Linked DNA regions of Elephas maximus indicus. The protein of the gene in region 1 purifies or fractionates together with the protein of each later gene. This does not show direct contact. Links are inferred from orthologs where the notes say so. Each region holds a gene or a part of one and is shown in the gene's direction. Other genes may lie near its edges. The genes, in order: AP1S2, AP1G2 and AP1B1.

The links.
Region 2: the proteins of AP1S2 (region 1) and AP1G2 purify together in Homo sapiens (affinity purification with mass spectrometry; 3 studies listed by BioGRID and IntAct, counting the BioPlex papers as one, with this or other methods). This does not show direct contact. The link is inferred for Elephas maximus indicus from reciprocal best matches to the Homo sapiens genes AP1S2 and AP1G2.
Region 3: the proteins of AP1S2 (region 1) and AP1B1 purify together in Homo sapiens (affinity purification with mass spectrometry; 5 studies listed by BioGRID and IntAct, counting the BioPlex papers as one, with this or other methods). This does not show direct contact. The link is inferred for Elephas maximus indicus from reciprocal best matches to the Homo sapiens genes AP1S2 and AP1B1.

Annotation. Positions count from the first base shown.
Region 1 is NC_064846.1:163,732,439-163,736,184, forward strand, and holds the start of AP1S2 (AP-1 complex subunit sigma-2), read left to right. Parts: upstream 1-1,030; 5' UTR 1,031-1,167; intron 1,168-3,411; coding exon 3,412-3,590; intron 3,591-3,746. UniProt on the Homo sapiens protein: Subunit of clathrin-associated adaptor protein complex 1 that plays a role in protein sorting in the late-Golgi/trans-Golgi network (TGN) and/or endosomes.
Region 2 is NC_064828.1:34,907,387-34,911,132, reverse strand, and holds the start of AP1G2 (AP-1 complex subunit gamma-like 2), read left to right. Parts: upstream 1-1,486; 5' UTR 1,487-1,504; coding exon 1,505-1,539; intron 1,540-1,680; coding exon 1,681-1,885; intron 1,886-2,259; coding exon 2,260-2,384; intron 2,385-2,535; coding exon 2,536-2,677; intron 2,678-2,798; coding exon 2,799-2,895; intron 2,896-3,069; coding exon 3,070-3,146; intron 3,147-3,261; coding exon 3,262-3,357; intron 3,358-3,746.
Region 3 is NC_064840.1:27,190,756-27,194,501, forward strand, and holds the start of AP1B1 (AP-1 complex subunit beta-1), read left to right. Parts: upstream 1-1,313; 5' UTR 1,314-1,465; intron 1,466-1,667; exon of another isoform or gene 1,668-1,744; intron 1,745-3,746. UniProt on the Homo sapiens protein: Subunit of clathrin-associated adaptor protein complex 1 that plays a role in protein sorting in the late-Golgi/trans-Golgi network (TGN) and/or endosomes.

The DNA of each region.
Region 1 (3,746 bases):
GGCTTCGGGAATGTCAACTTACATATTTACTAGTTGGGACTTTTTTTTATATATGCCAAGCGGTAGAATAGGCTGGGGATGCAAAATGGAATACAATTCAAGATGTGCTAAATGGAGGCCAGTGGGTACATGGGACAAAGAACTCGTTCTTACAGGGTTTTAGGGTCAGACTTCACAGGAGAGGGGACGTTTAGGAGAAAGGGCATGCCAAGCTGAGCAGATCTTCGGCAAAGCTAAACTGAACCCAGACGGGTAAGGGGTGGCCCCAAGTGACGGGAACAAGACTCTATCTCGAAGATGAAAGGCTGTCTGCGTTTTTCAGCAGAGAACGGACAGTAACCCATCTGATACGCAGCACTGAGGATGGGCGAGGCAAACGCACGAAAGACTCTTGCAAAGCCTGGGGCGAAAAGTGTCTAGACTATGGCAGTAGCCGCGCCATGGGAGGCAAGGGCCGGGTTCCGAAGAGTTATGAGGCGGAATACTTGCAAAAGAACCTCTGACCGCTTGCACGAGCTCCACGAAAGAGCTGACTTGATTTCCCAGGAATTGCAGGCCCACTCCCCTATCATCCCTGGCCGTCACACTTCCCTCATGCCAGCCTCTTAGGGGCATGGAAAGTGATCCGGGCACGAACGTGGCTCTTCCAGGTAGGAAGCTTCCACGATCGGCATGGTGGTACCTGCAAAGCACGCCACGGAACCCCGTCGACCCACCATAGACGAAGCCCGGGAAGCAGCCCGCGAGCACCCCGGGGGCAGGGGCGCCAGGGCGCAGGCGCGCCAGCCCCGGCAGAAGCCGCTTCCGGGTCACGTGGCCGAGTTTCCGGTCCGCGCCACCCGGCTGGGTGGATACCCGGCCAATCGGCTGCCTTGGGCGGCGCCGTCGCCGACTCTGCCTCCGGTGTCGTGGGCGGTGACCGGGCTGCTTCCCGCGCGTCGCCTAGCCCGCCCCTCCGCTCGCCGCAGCCCCGGCTCCTCCCTCGGCCGGCCCCCGGGGCGGGGTCTGTCGGCTCGCCCTCCCCTCGCCGCCTAACCCAGCCTTTCTCCAAACTGGTCCCCTCCCCTCAGCAACACGGCTGCTGCTCCTCACCCCGGCGACAGGGGTTTCCCCTTAGCCGCCACCGCTGCCGGCCGAGCCCCGCCGCGCCCGCGGCCCGCGGCCGCAGTAAGTCCCGGGGGGCGAACGAAGGCTGGGGAAGGAGAGGGTGGGGGAGGGCCGGGCGCGCCCCCCGCCGCCCCGCGCGCGCCCCGGCGAACCCACCCAGCGCCCGCCCGGCCGCTTCCCGGGCGCCGCGCCCCGCAACTCACTTCTCTCGGCGTCCGCGCCCCGGGCTGCAGGAGTCCGTCCCGGCCGCCGCACCAGCCCCGTCGCACTTGTGGTTCGGGAATCGCTTCAAGTTTTGCGGGGCGTTTTGGGGAGGGGACGCAGCGGGGAACTGTGGCGGCCGAGGACCCCTGGCGCCCCCTGCGCGGCGGCGGATGCCATTGTCTCCTCGCCCCGGTGCGGCCAGCGGATGGAGTGTGGCCCCGAGGGGGGGCGTCGGCGACGCCCAGACCCGAGGAACGCTGGCCCCGAGCCCGCTCCGCGGCAGAGCCCATTGTTTTTAACACCAACCTCGAGGAATTGTGCTCTGCGATTTGCGGCAAAATCAAAGCATTGATTTTTAATAAGAGGGAAGGAGTACTTTAGGGAGAGTGAATTATTTATTTGTCCTGTGGAGTGGCAGGGCGGATACAAGAATGCTGCAGACAGCCTTGAGCCCAGACTCCGATCGCTAGTAGACCCCTACCTTTCCTGGACACCAAGCTCTATGAATACAGAGTCCATTCTTTTCCGAGTTCTAGTAACGGGTTTATATTCAGCGTGGTCCAGTCGATGCGTCCCTTGCGGCCCCTTCGAATGCCGCTATATGCAGGATTTGTTTGGGAGGCACACTGACGTCTCTGAATAAGGTTCATGTATTTTGTGCCAGTGAAGGGTTTTGAGATAAAATTGCTTTGCGTCTTTAAGCCAGTTTTAACTTTAAAAAGTTAAATTGCGGCGTCATGAATTTCCAGATATCTCGTTGATGCCTTTTTGGATTATTACAAAAAAAAAATACGACACTAATTAGCGACTTTGGAAATGTAGGGCTCATTTTATTCTAAATTGGTTGTGTAAATTCCGCCTTTCCATGTTCATATTCAAGATGGTGTGATGAATATTAAAAACCAGGTTTGAATTATATTTGCAGCCACACTGTTAAAGGAACTTATAGTTAAAAGAAAAAAAATCTCTCTGAATTGTACCTTTAAATTGCCTTTGTTGAAACGATACTTAGATGTGCGCAGTTGAGATGACCAGTTGAATTACAAGAAGAACCAGAAAGCCAAACTCGTTGTGGTCCGAGTCGGTTCTGACTCATAGCGACCCTCTAGGACAGCGCAGAACTACCCCATAGGGTTTCCAAGGCGCTGCCGATGGATTCGAACTGCTGACCTTTTGGTTAGCAGCGGACTCTTAACCACTGCGCCACCGGGGCCCCTCTGGTCCTTTAAAAATTAAACATGTAGATGAATCAACATCTGTTGGTTTGCAGATTCCAAATAACTATACACAGAGGAGCGTATCAAATACGCTAGAATACAGCAGTCACTCAATCTGTAGGTGCTATTTTTGATGGTTTTTAAATGAAGTATTGTGTAATGTCTCTAAATATGTTTAACTCTTAGTACTTCTGGCTTTTTTAAGGTTTATTTTCTCTTTCATAATCTTACACTCATTATTTATTGTGTGCATACGTATGTTGGATTTTTTAAAAAGTGAGGTCAAAACATCTTTAAAAATCAGGCTCTCATTAAGAAAAACATCTATTTATGGGATCCTTTTTTTGGTTAATATTTTAGATTTTTAAATTTTGTTTAAAATATGCTAGCATAAACTGAAGAGTGCATTTTAAGTGATAATATCCTTGTCTACAAGGAATTCAGCCCGGAGCTAGCCGGCCTCAGGGTGAAAAATAGTAGGTCTTCTCTTTCTTTCAAATGTACCTGAAGGAGATGTCTCCAGTTCTTCTGTGATGCGTAGACAGTGTGGGTATACATATAAAAAAAGCACAAGTAAAAAATACTGTTTTAAATGACAGAAGAGTTATCTTTCTTCAGAAATTTCACTCCAACTGAACTGGTTTTCTTTTCCATGCGCTCCTTTCCAAACTTGAGTGGAATAGGGTGGGGTGGCGAGGTCTGCATATAGTAAGAAGAGCTTTCTGCAAGCATCTCCTGCTGTTTTAATTGGCATAGAAATACTGATAGCTACTAGTCATTATCAGTTAAACACCCCCCCCTTCTCTAAAAAGCATGTAATTTTAATCTTAACTCTGTTGAGTCAAAGTGTTGCATCTAACCTTGGTTTTATTTACCTTAACAGATGCAGTTTATGTTGCTTTTTAGTCGTCAGGGAAAGCTTCGACTGCAGAAATGGTATGTCCCATTATCAGACAAAGAGAAGAAAAAGATCACAAGGGAACTTGTGCAAACCGTGTTAGCACGTAAACCTAAGATGTGCAGCTTTCTTGAGTGGCGAGATCTGAAGATTGTTTACAAAAGGTATGATTTCTTCCCCCCCCCCCGCCACCCCAGAACGTTGAAATAGCAATCTTAGGTCATTTATGATGTGAAAATTGCAGACTTTTAAGAGATGATGTTTATAAATAATGATTAATAAAGATTTAGATGAAATAGGTTTAAGGTGAAGCTTTGTGT
Region 2 (3,746 bases), on another chromosome or scaffold:
CTTAGCTTCAAGCACTGAGCTTGGCTCTTGCCTAACTCAGTCCTTCCCTGAGGGAGATATGGGAATTGAAAAGTAGAATGACTCTCTAACATCTCCCTTTCTTTCCTCAAAAGCCCACCCCTCCTCAACCCCCTCTGGTGACATGGCAAGAGCAAGTGTAAAAGGAACAAAAAAAATCCAGTGCAACCAAGTCCCCTCCCCCCCAACTTCGCCACTGACCTCTCCCACCCTTCTGTTTCCCCCTAAAAGTTTGGATGGTCTGGACTCACTTGTGGCCTTTGATTAAATTCCTAAGGGACCTAAAGAAGGTGTTTCTACTGCAAAGGGTTAGAGGCACTTGAGCAAGGGCCTCACTCCCCAACTCTGTCAGTTGTGGTGAGGGGAGGCACTTCTGGGAGATGGAACCAGACAGGAACTCACAGAGCAGCGTAAGCTGCAACACTTTTAGTCACTGTCAAAATGGGTGATGTCCCTTCCCCCTTCACATGGGAATATGGTGAAATGGGAAGACAACAGAAGGAGGGGATCAAAAGAAGCTGACCCCTCACGCACCTTCCAGGCAGGGCAGAGGTAGGAGACAAACGTGGGGTGAGAGGTGGGTGGAGAGCCCTGTTTGAGGTTGTGCCTGATCCCTGGTACTAGCTTTCCCCCCTGGGGGTTAGGAAGCCCTCGGAAAAGGGGACTGTAGGACCCCTCCCCTGCATGAGGCAGAGGCAAGCTGCCTGCCAATCCCCTCCCTCAAGGAATGGCCTTGCCTGGGAATGCCCACCACATACACCCTCTTTTTTTCTAGTCAAACTGTTTATTCCTTGGCCTGCCTCCCTCCTTCCTACCTTCTCAACCTTTACTTCTGATTTCTATTTCATGGAATTTGGGATTGAAGTTAAACTACAACAGTGCCGCAAACATCAAGTCTTGCAGAAAAAAAAAAAATTAACAAAAAAAATATATTAATAAAAAAGTTCAAAAAAGGGGGGGGATTGTCATCTCCTTTGGGGTGCGATGGCTTCAACCCCAAGCTGAAGCTCTCCGGGTGGTGATGATGTACGAGGTGCCCCCTAGGGGAACCCCAGCCTCTCCATTGCGAATAAAACCTACTTCCCCTAAACAGCGAAGCCAGAAGTTTAAGCAGGGCGGGCCAGGAGGGGCGAGGTCGCGTGATGGGGGTGCGGAGGGGGACGGGCCAGATGAAGCACCGCCTCTCGATCGGCCCTGCACCAGGAAGTCCTGGGGGGGAGAGGAGTGGAGTTGAGACGGGAGCCAGGTGAGGCTGGTGTAAAGGGCTGGCTCCTGGGGTGGGGAAACTGAGGCTGCCTGAGATGGCAATCGGAGAAGGAATCCCACGGAAGAAAATGCGCGGGGCCGGGAAAGAAAAGGACAGGCTGAGCTAGGGATGGGAAACCAGGTGTGTGGGGGGGAGAAATGGGCGGGGCTCTAGCGCATGCTCAGTAGGGGCAGGCGGACGGGGGCCGAACGCATGTGTAGTGAGGTGTTCCCTGGGGCGATGAGGGCGGAATTTGGAGACCCGTGTGGGGAAAGGTAAATGTGTGCTCTGTTGTAGGGTAGCAGTGGGACACGGACCCTCAGATTCTTGGCACAGAGCAAGCCTGGGCAGAAAGGGCAGGCACATTCGGCTAGGGAGTGTTAAAGCCCTCTCTATTCCCGAGCTCTGCCCCCCAGGATGGTGGTGCCTTCGCTGAAGCTTCAGGATCTAATCGAGGAGATTCGTGGGGCCAAGACGCAGGCCCAGGAGCGGGAGGTGATCCAGAAGGAGTGCGCCCACATCCGCGCCTCCTTTCGGGATGGGGACCCCCTGCACAGGCACCGCCAGCTGGCCAAACTGCTCTACGTCCACATGTTGGGCTACCCTGCCCACTTTGGACAGGTATGGAGCAAGGACGCCTCCTTCTTGAATTTGTGGGGCGCAGGTCTCGGAATCCCTCACTGACCTCAAGTTTGTCATTCTGCAGTCTCTGAGCTCTCACAGCATGCACCGCTAACCTTCCCCATCCTAGCCCCCATTGGCGGTGAGCTGGCCTGAATCCTTCATTCTCTGGCCAGTCTCGTTCAGGGCACCTTCTCTCCCATCCCAAGGACTCCTAGTTCCTTGAAACTACCTACAAATGCCTGAATCTCCTAAGCCTCTCCCTCTTGTTGAAAGGAGGGTGATGGGTTATTGTGCCCCACAAGTCAATCTGGTGTTAAGATGGAAGATGGAACAGGGATGTTAGTGCCTCTGGTTTCACCCCTTCTCTATAGATGGAGTGCCTGAAACTGATCGCCTCCCCCAGATTCTCAGACAAGAGAATGGGCTACCTGGGGGCCATGCTTCTACTGGATGAGAGGCAGGATGCCCACCTGCTCATTACCAACAGCATCAAGAAGTGAGAGGGCTGGGGGTGATTCTAGGAAGCACTTGGAATCAGGGAGATGGGAGAGTGGGGAACTGGGAAATGCCAAGGGGCTGCCTGGTATAGGTACTGGGAAGGATTGGTTTTTTCAGAGGCTTCACTGACCCTCCTCCCAACCCTGCAGTGACCTGAGCCAGGGGAGTCAGCCAGTACAAGGTCTGGCCCTGTGCACTCTGAGCACCGTGGGCTCCGCTGAGATGTGCCGGGACCTAGCCACAGAGGTTGAGAAACTGCTCCTGCAGCCCAGCCCCTACATGCGCAAGAAGGTGAGGCAGCAGACTCTAGGCACTTGCCTCTCAAGAAACCATCCCTGGTTTGCCACGTGGTAGAGGTGTGCCATAGTACTTGATGGACCCCTGCCCTGTCTGAGCTCCCTGACCTCTGCAGGCTGTTCTGACTGCGGTGCACATGATTCGGAAGGTCCCTGAGCTGTCCAACATCTTCCTCCCACCCTGTGCCCAACTACTTCAAGAGCGCCACCATGGTAAGGCCACGGGGCTCCCCATCCCCTGCCTCTGCTCTTGCTGTGAACCGAAGAAGTGAAGGTTGTGACGGGAATACCAGCTCATAGGAGAAGGGCAGCACACACACCTATACACATGCCGTAGACTTTCCTTTGCCCCTGCCCTACCCTTTGCTTCCCCCACCCTGACCCCAGGCATCCTGCTGGGCACCATCACGCTGATCACAGAGCTCTGCGAAGGAAGCCCTGCAGCCCTCAGGCACTTTCGAAAGGTGGGCTGCTGAAGAGCAGGCACTGGGCCAGAAAAAGAGGGACAGTGGGGAGGGATGGTGCTGGAGGTTGAGAGGGTAAGAAGAATGCCTAGACACGGCTATGCCCTCCCTCCAGGTGGTACCCCAGCTGGTAGAGATCCTTCAGACTCTGGTGACATCGGGATACTCTGCAGAACACAGCATATCTGGAGTCAGTGACCCCTTCCTGCAGGTAGGCTGACCTTTATGAGCTGTATCCCTCGAACAAAGGGAGCTTAGAAATAAGACCACAGCCAGCGCCTACCTCCCAGAAAACACTTAGGCTCAGTCACTGTTTTGGGCAGGAAGGTGGCAGGCATAGGATTGCCTTGGTCATCCCAGCACCAGTGGGGGGAGGGGGGGAGGTGAGGTGCGGGGAGTACCATGTCAGAAGATCCAGTTTGACAGCCATAAAAAAATCCTATCCCAAACTCCCCAGGTGTCGCAGACTTCTGGTACCTTTCCAGGACCCCCAGGGACCTGTGGAGCTGAAAGGGAGGGGCAAGGAGGCTCTAGGGAGCCAACCAGACCCCTCACGATGCTCTCCTCAACGTTGGATTTTTCTCCTCAGCCCCATGACTC
Region 3 (3,746 bases), on another chromosome or scaffold:
TATCATAAGTGGGTGGCTTTAACAAACAAATTTATTTTCTCACAGTTTAGGAGGCTAGAAGTTCAAATTCAGGGCACTGGCTCTAAGGGAAGGCCTTCTCTGTTGGCTCTGGGGGAAGGTCCTTGTCTCTTTTCAGCTTCTCTTCCTCAGTACCTTGACAATCTTCATGTGGTGTGGCATCTATCTTCCCCCATCTCTGCATGCTTCTCTGTGCCTAATCTGTTTGTTTAATATCTCAGAGGTGATTCGCTTAAGACACCCTACACTGATATGGTCTCATTAACATAATAAAGAAAACTCTATTCCCAAATGGGATTATATCCACGAGTATACCCAAAACCAAACCCATTGCCGTGGAGTCGATTCTGACTCATTGCGACCCTATAGGACAGAGTAGAACTTCTCCATAGGGTTTCCAGGGAGCACCTGGTGGATCTGAACTGCCAACCTTTTGGTTATTAGCCGGTGCTTTTAACCATTACATCACCAAGGTTTCCATATCCACAAGTATAAGGGTTAGGATTTATAACACGTATTTTGGGGGGACACAATTCAATCCGTAACATCATTTTACACCTTTAGTCAGCCTCAAATTCATTCTTTTAACTTTTAATTTTGAAATGATTATAAACTTAAACTGCAAAAATAGTAGAGTCCCCTATACCCTACACCTTGCTTCCCCCAATGGTTACATCTTATATACCCCTCAAAGTCAAACCCAGGAAATGGAAACTGGGTACAATACTGTTAACTAGACTACAGACCTCATTCAATTTTCAAATCCTTTTTTGAAGCAGACAGGAAACAAGTAGAATATTTTTATATTACATGCCATGCCTCGTGAGGTCCTGGTAGACCCAACGAAAGGGGAAATGGGACTTTATGAAGTTCTCCTTGGATGAGAGTGTCTTGGAGGGTCTGATCTTTCCCCTAGAACGAGGATTCCCTAAGGACTGCCATGAAAGGCAGAGAATGCTGGACTAGATTTACAGTTCTAGTTTTGATTCTTCAATGCAAAAGCTGAGTGACCTCTCTGGACCTCAGTTTTCCCGTCTGGAACCAGAAGAAGGAGAGAGACCTCAAAGTCTCTAGGATCTTTCCCGTCTCCGTCACACCAGCACCACTTCGCAGTCAGCTGGCTCACTTCTCCAGCGCTGTACGGGAGCCGGCAGCTGAGCAAGGCCCTAGCGGCGGTCGGCTCCACCCCCTCCTTTGCCCCGCCCCTCGGGCACCACCCCTGGCCCGGGGAGCACTCTTGGCCCCGCCCCCAGGCCGTGCGTCCACCGGAAGTGTGAGCGCGCGGGCAGCTCACTTCCGCCCGGCAGGTGACAGCCGCGGGGCTGAGAGCGGCCCGCGGTGCGGACACGCCGGGAGAGCGGGAGGAGGAGGAGGCCGCGGACATTTTGCTGCCGTGCCGATCCGAACCGAGCCGAGCCGTGGCGCCGGGAGCCGCTCGGTCTTGCGGGTGAGGAAGCGGAGTGCCGGATGCGGCAGGAGAAGAAGTGGGACGGGGAGCCGGGGGTCTGAGCTGAGGGGTTGGCGGGGTCAGAGGTCACTGAGAGGACAGGGCGACAGTGGGTACGCGAGCGGCCTCCCTGGCTCGGAGGAGGCGGAGGGACTGCAGGCTCATTCATTCGCGCCCCCTTGGCCTCCGACCCGCATCCCAGCTGCCCCAGGCCTGCAGCCCCGCCGCCCGGGAGACGCCCCCAGACTCAGGCCCGAGAAGCCCACGCCTGGCTGAAAGGTAAACTCGTCTTTGGGCTTTGGTTTTCCCGTTCACACTGACCCTCAAGGCCAGCCTGAGGCCTCTTCGTTAAGGGCCTTTTTCTCCATGTCAAGGTTGGAAAAGAAACGACCCTCTGCCGCCGGCACCCGGGGAGTATCTGAGCTCGGTCTGTCCCTTGGCGCCTCCGTGACAAGTTGACTGAAGACACGTATAACAATGCTAAAATGATCATTATTGGTTATCGACCCCTACTGTGTGCCAGGATCTGTGCTAAAATACCACGTTTAAACCTCCATTCAACACTCGTGAGATAGCTACTGTTGCTATTCCCTGTTTACGGATGAGGAAACTGAGGTACAGAGAGGTTAAATCACCCAGGTAGACGGATCAGATAGTGTAGACAGAGCCAAAATTCCTATGCAGGCTTTCAGGGGCCTGCGAAGTGCAGAGGCAGGCTGGAGCAGGGCTGGGGCGTAGGGGCTGCTTAATACTCAGCTGCCACTATATCTGTTTGAATCTATGTTACAACGGTAACAACGTGTAAAGATGTAGCTTTATTGCTTCTCATCTGATCTTCATTTATGCCCCTGCCTTTGATTCATTTTTCTTTAGAATGAAACAGTCCCGCAGACTGTCGCTATACACCTTTCAGGGCAAGAGTGGCAGTCTTTCCTGACTTTTAGGCACTGTGAGACATAAAACACCTTATCTGGGAAACTAATTTCAGAATATCAGGAACCTCTCTTGCAGGTGGTTGAGCTGCATTCCTTTTGGAATAAAGAGAGGAACCACATGACCCCTACAGGATCTTTTGGCCCTAGATTCTAGAAGGATGTATTCAAGGGGAAGGTCTGTGCCTCTTTGAAAAATGTGGAAGCCCCATTCTTCTTGCCTGGGAGATGGTGAGGTGGTTTGGTGGCCGGAGAACTAGGCTCTGTGAGTCTGAGCCTTTATTCCTTTGCAACATCCACCCCCTCTCATTCTGCCTCAGTTTCCCTGACAGCAGCATGAGAAAGACCTGCTGCCTCCTTACCCCTTCGTGGGTGTTACAAGCCTTAGTGAATCTGCTAAGGTTTCCACATGCTTCTGAAGAAAGCTGTGAGGTAAATATTACTGTAGTGCCTTTTTTGTTTGTTTTTTTTAGCCTCCATGATCTGTTCTCCTAATTACCGAATCCACAGAAACTTAATATTGTCATCTTATCCCATTCTTCCAAGGGAGGATTTGAATGAAGTGACTTGTCACAGTTGGTAGGAACATGAGCAGAGCACCAAGCATCTGGTTCCCTGCCCTGAGTTGAGCCGTTTAGAAACTGTCATGAAGAGCAGCTTGACAAGTTATCAAAGAATCAGATCCCTCATAGTTTGTGAGACTTGAGCAAGCCTGAGTGGTTTGAAGGGGCTCAAAGGTACAAGAGAAAGAGCACACCCCGACTTTCCAGTAGTCAGCCCTGGATTCTGACCTCAGTTCGGCAGCTTAATGGTAGCGTGATCTGGACAACTTACTTAGGCTGGGCCTCTTTTACCTCAACTCAAAAATAATACTGAGTCCCCACCCGGCCCCCCGACACAGGTGGTTGTGGGGGTTAAGTGAGGACATTTGTGCAATGCGCCTAGTATAGAGCAAAATGTTATTATCGTGGTGGGTGTCTTGACTTCAGGCCTGTTGATCCTCAGGGGGCTTTTGCCCAAGGAAGGCTGCCAGCTGTGGTTTATGGGGCGTTACTTCCTTCTGCAAACAGAGACCTTTATGTTCAGAGGACTTCTCGGACCCTTCTTGTTTCACTTCCTCAAAGTACTTCAGGACAGGCTCAGTCCGTCAGTCCTGCTGGCTCTGGGCTTGGACTTTAATCTTTTTGTAGTCATCATCTTGTACATCTTGACTGCTCACTTCCCATTCAAAACCCACATCTGGCACAAAAGCCTTGATATGCTACCAGTGAGCAAGCACAACTTGGGTATGGGTTTTGCACTGTAATATATTTCTTAAATCTGAGGGGGCATCTGTTCTTTGAAGATGT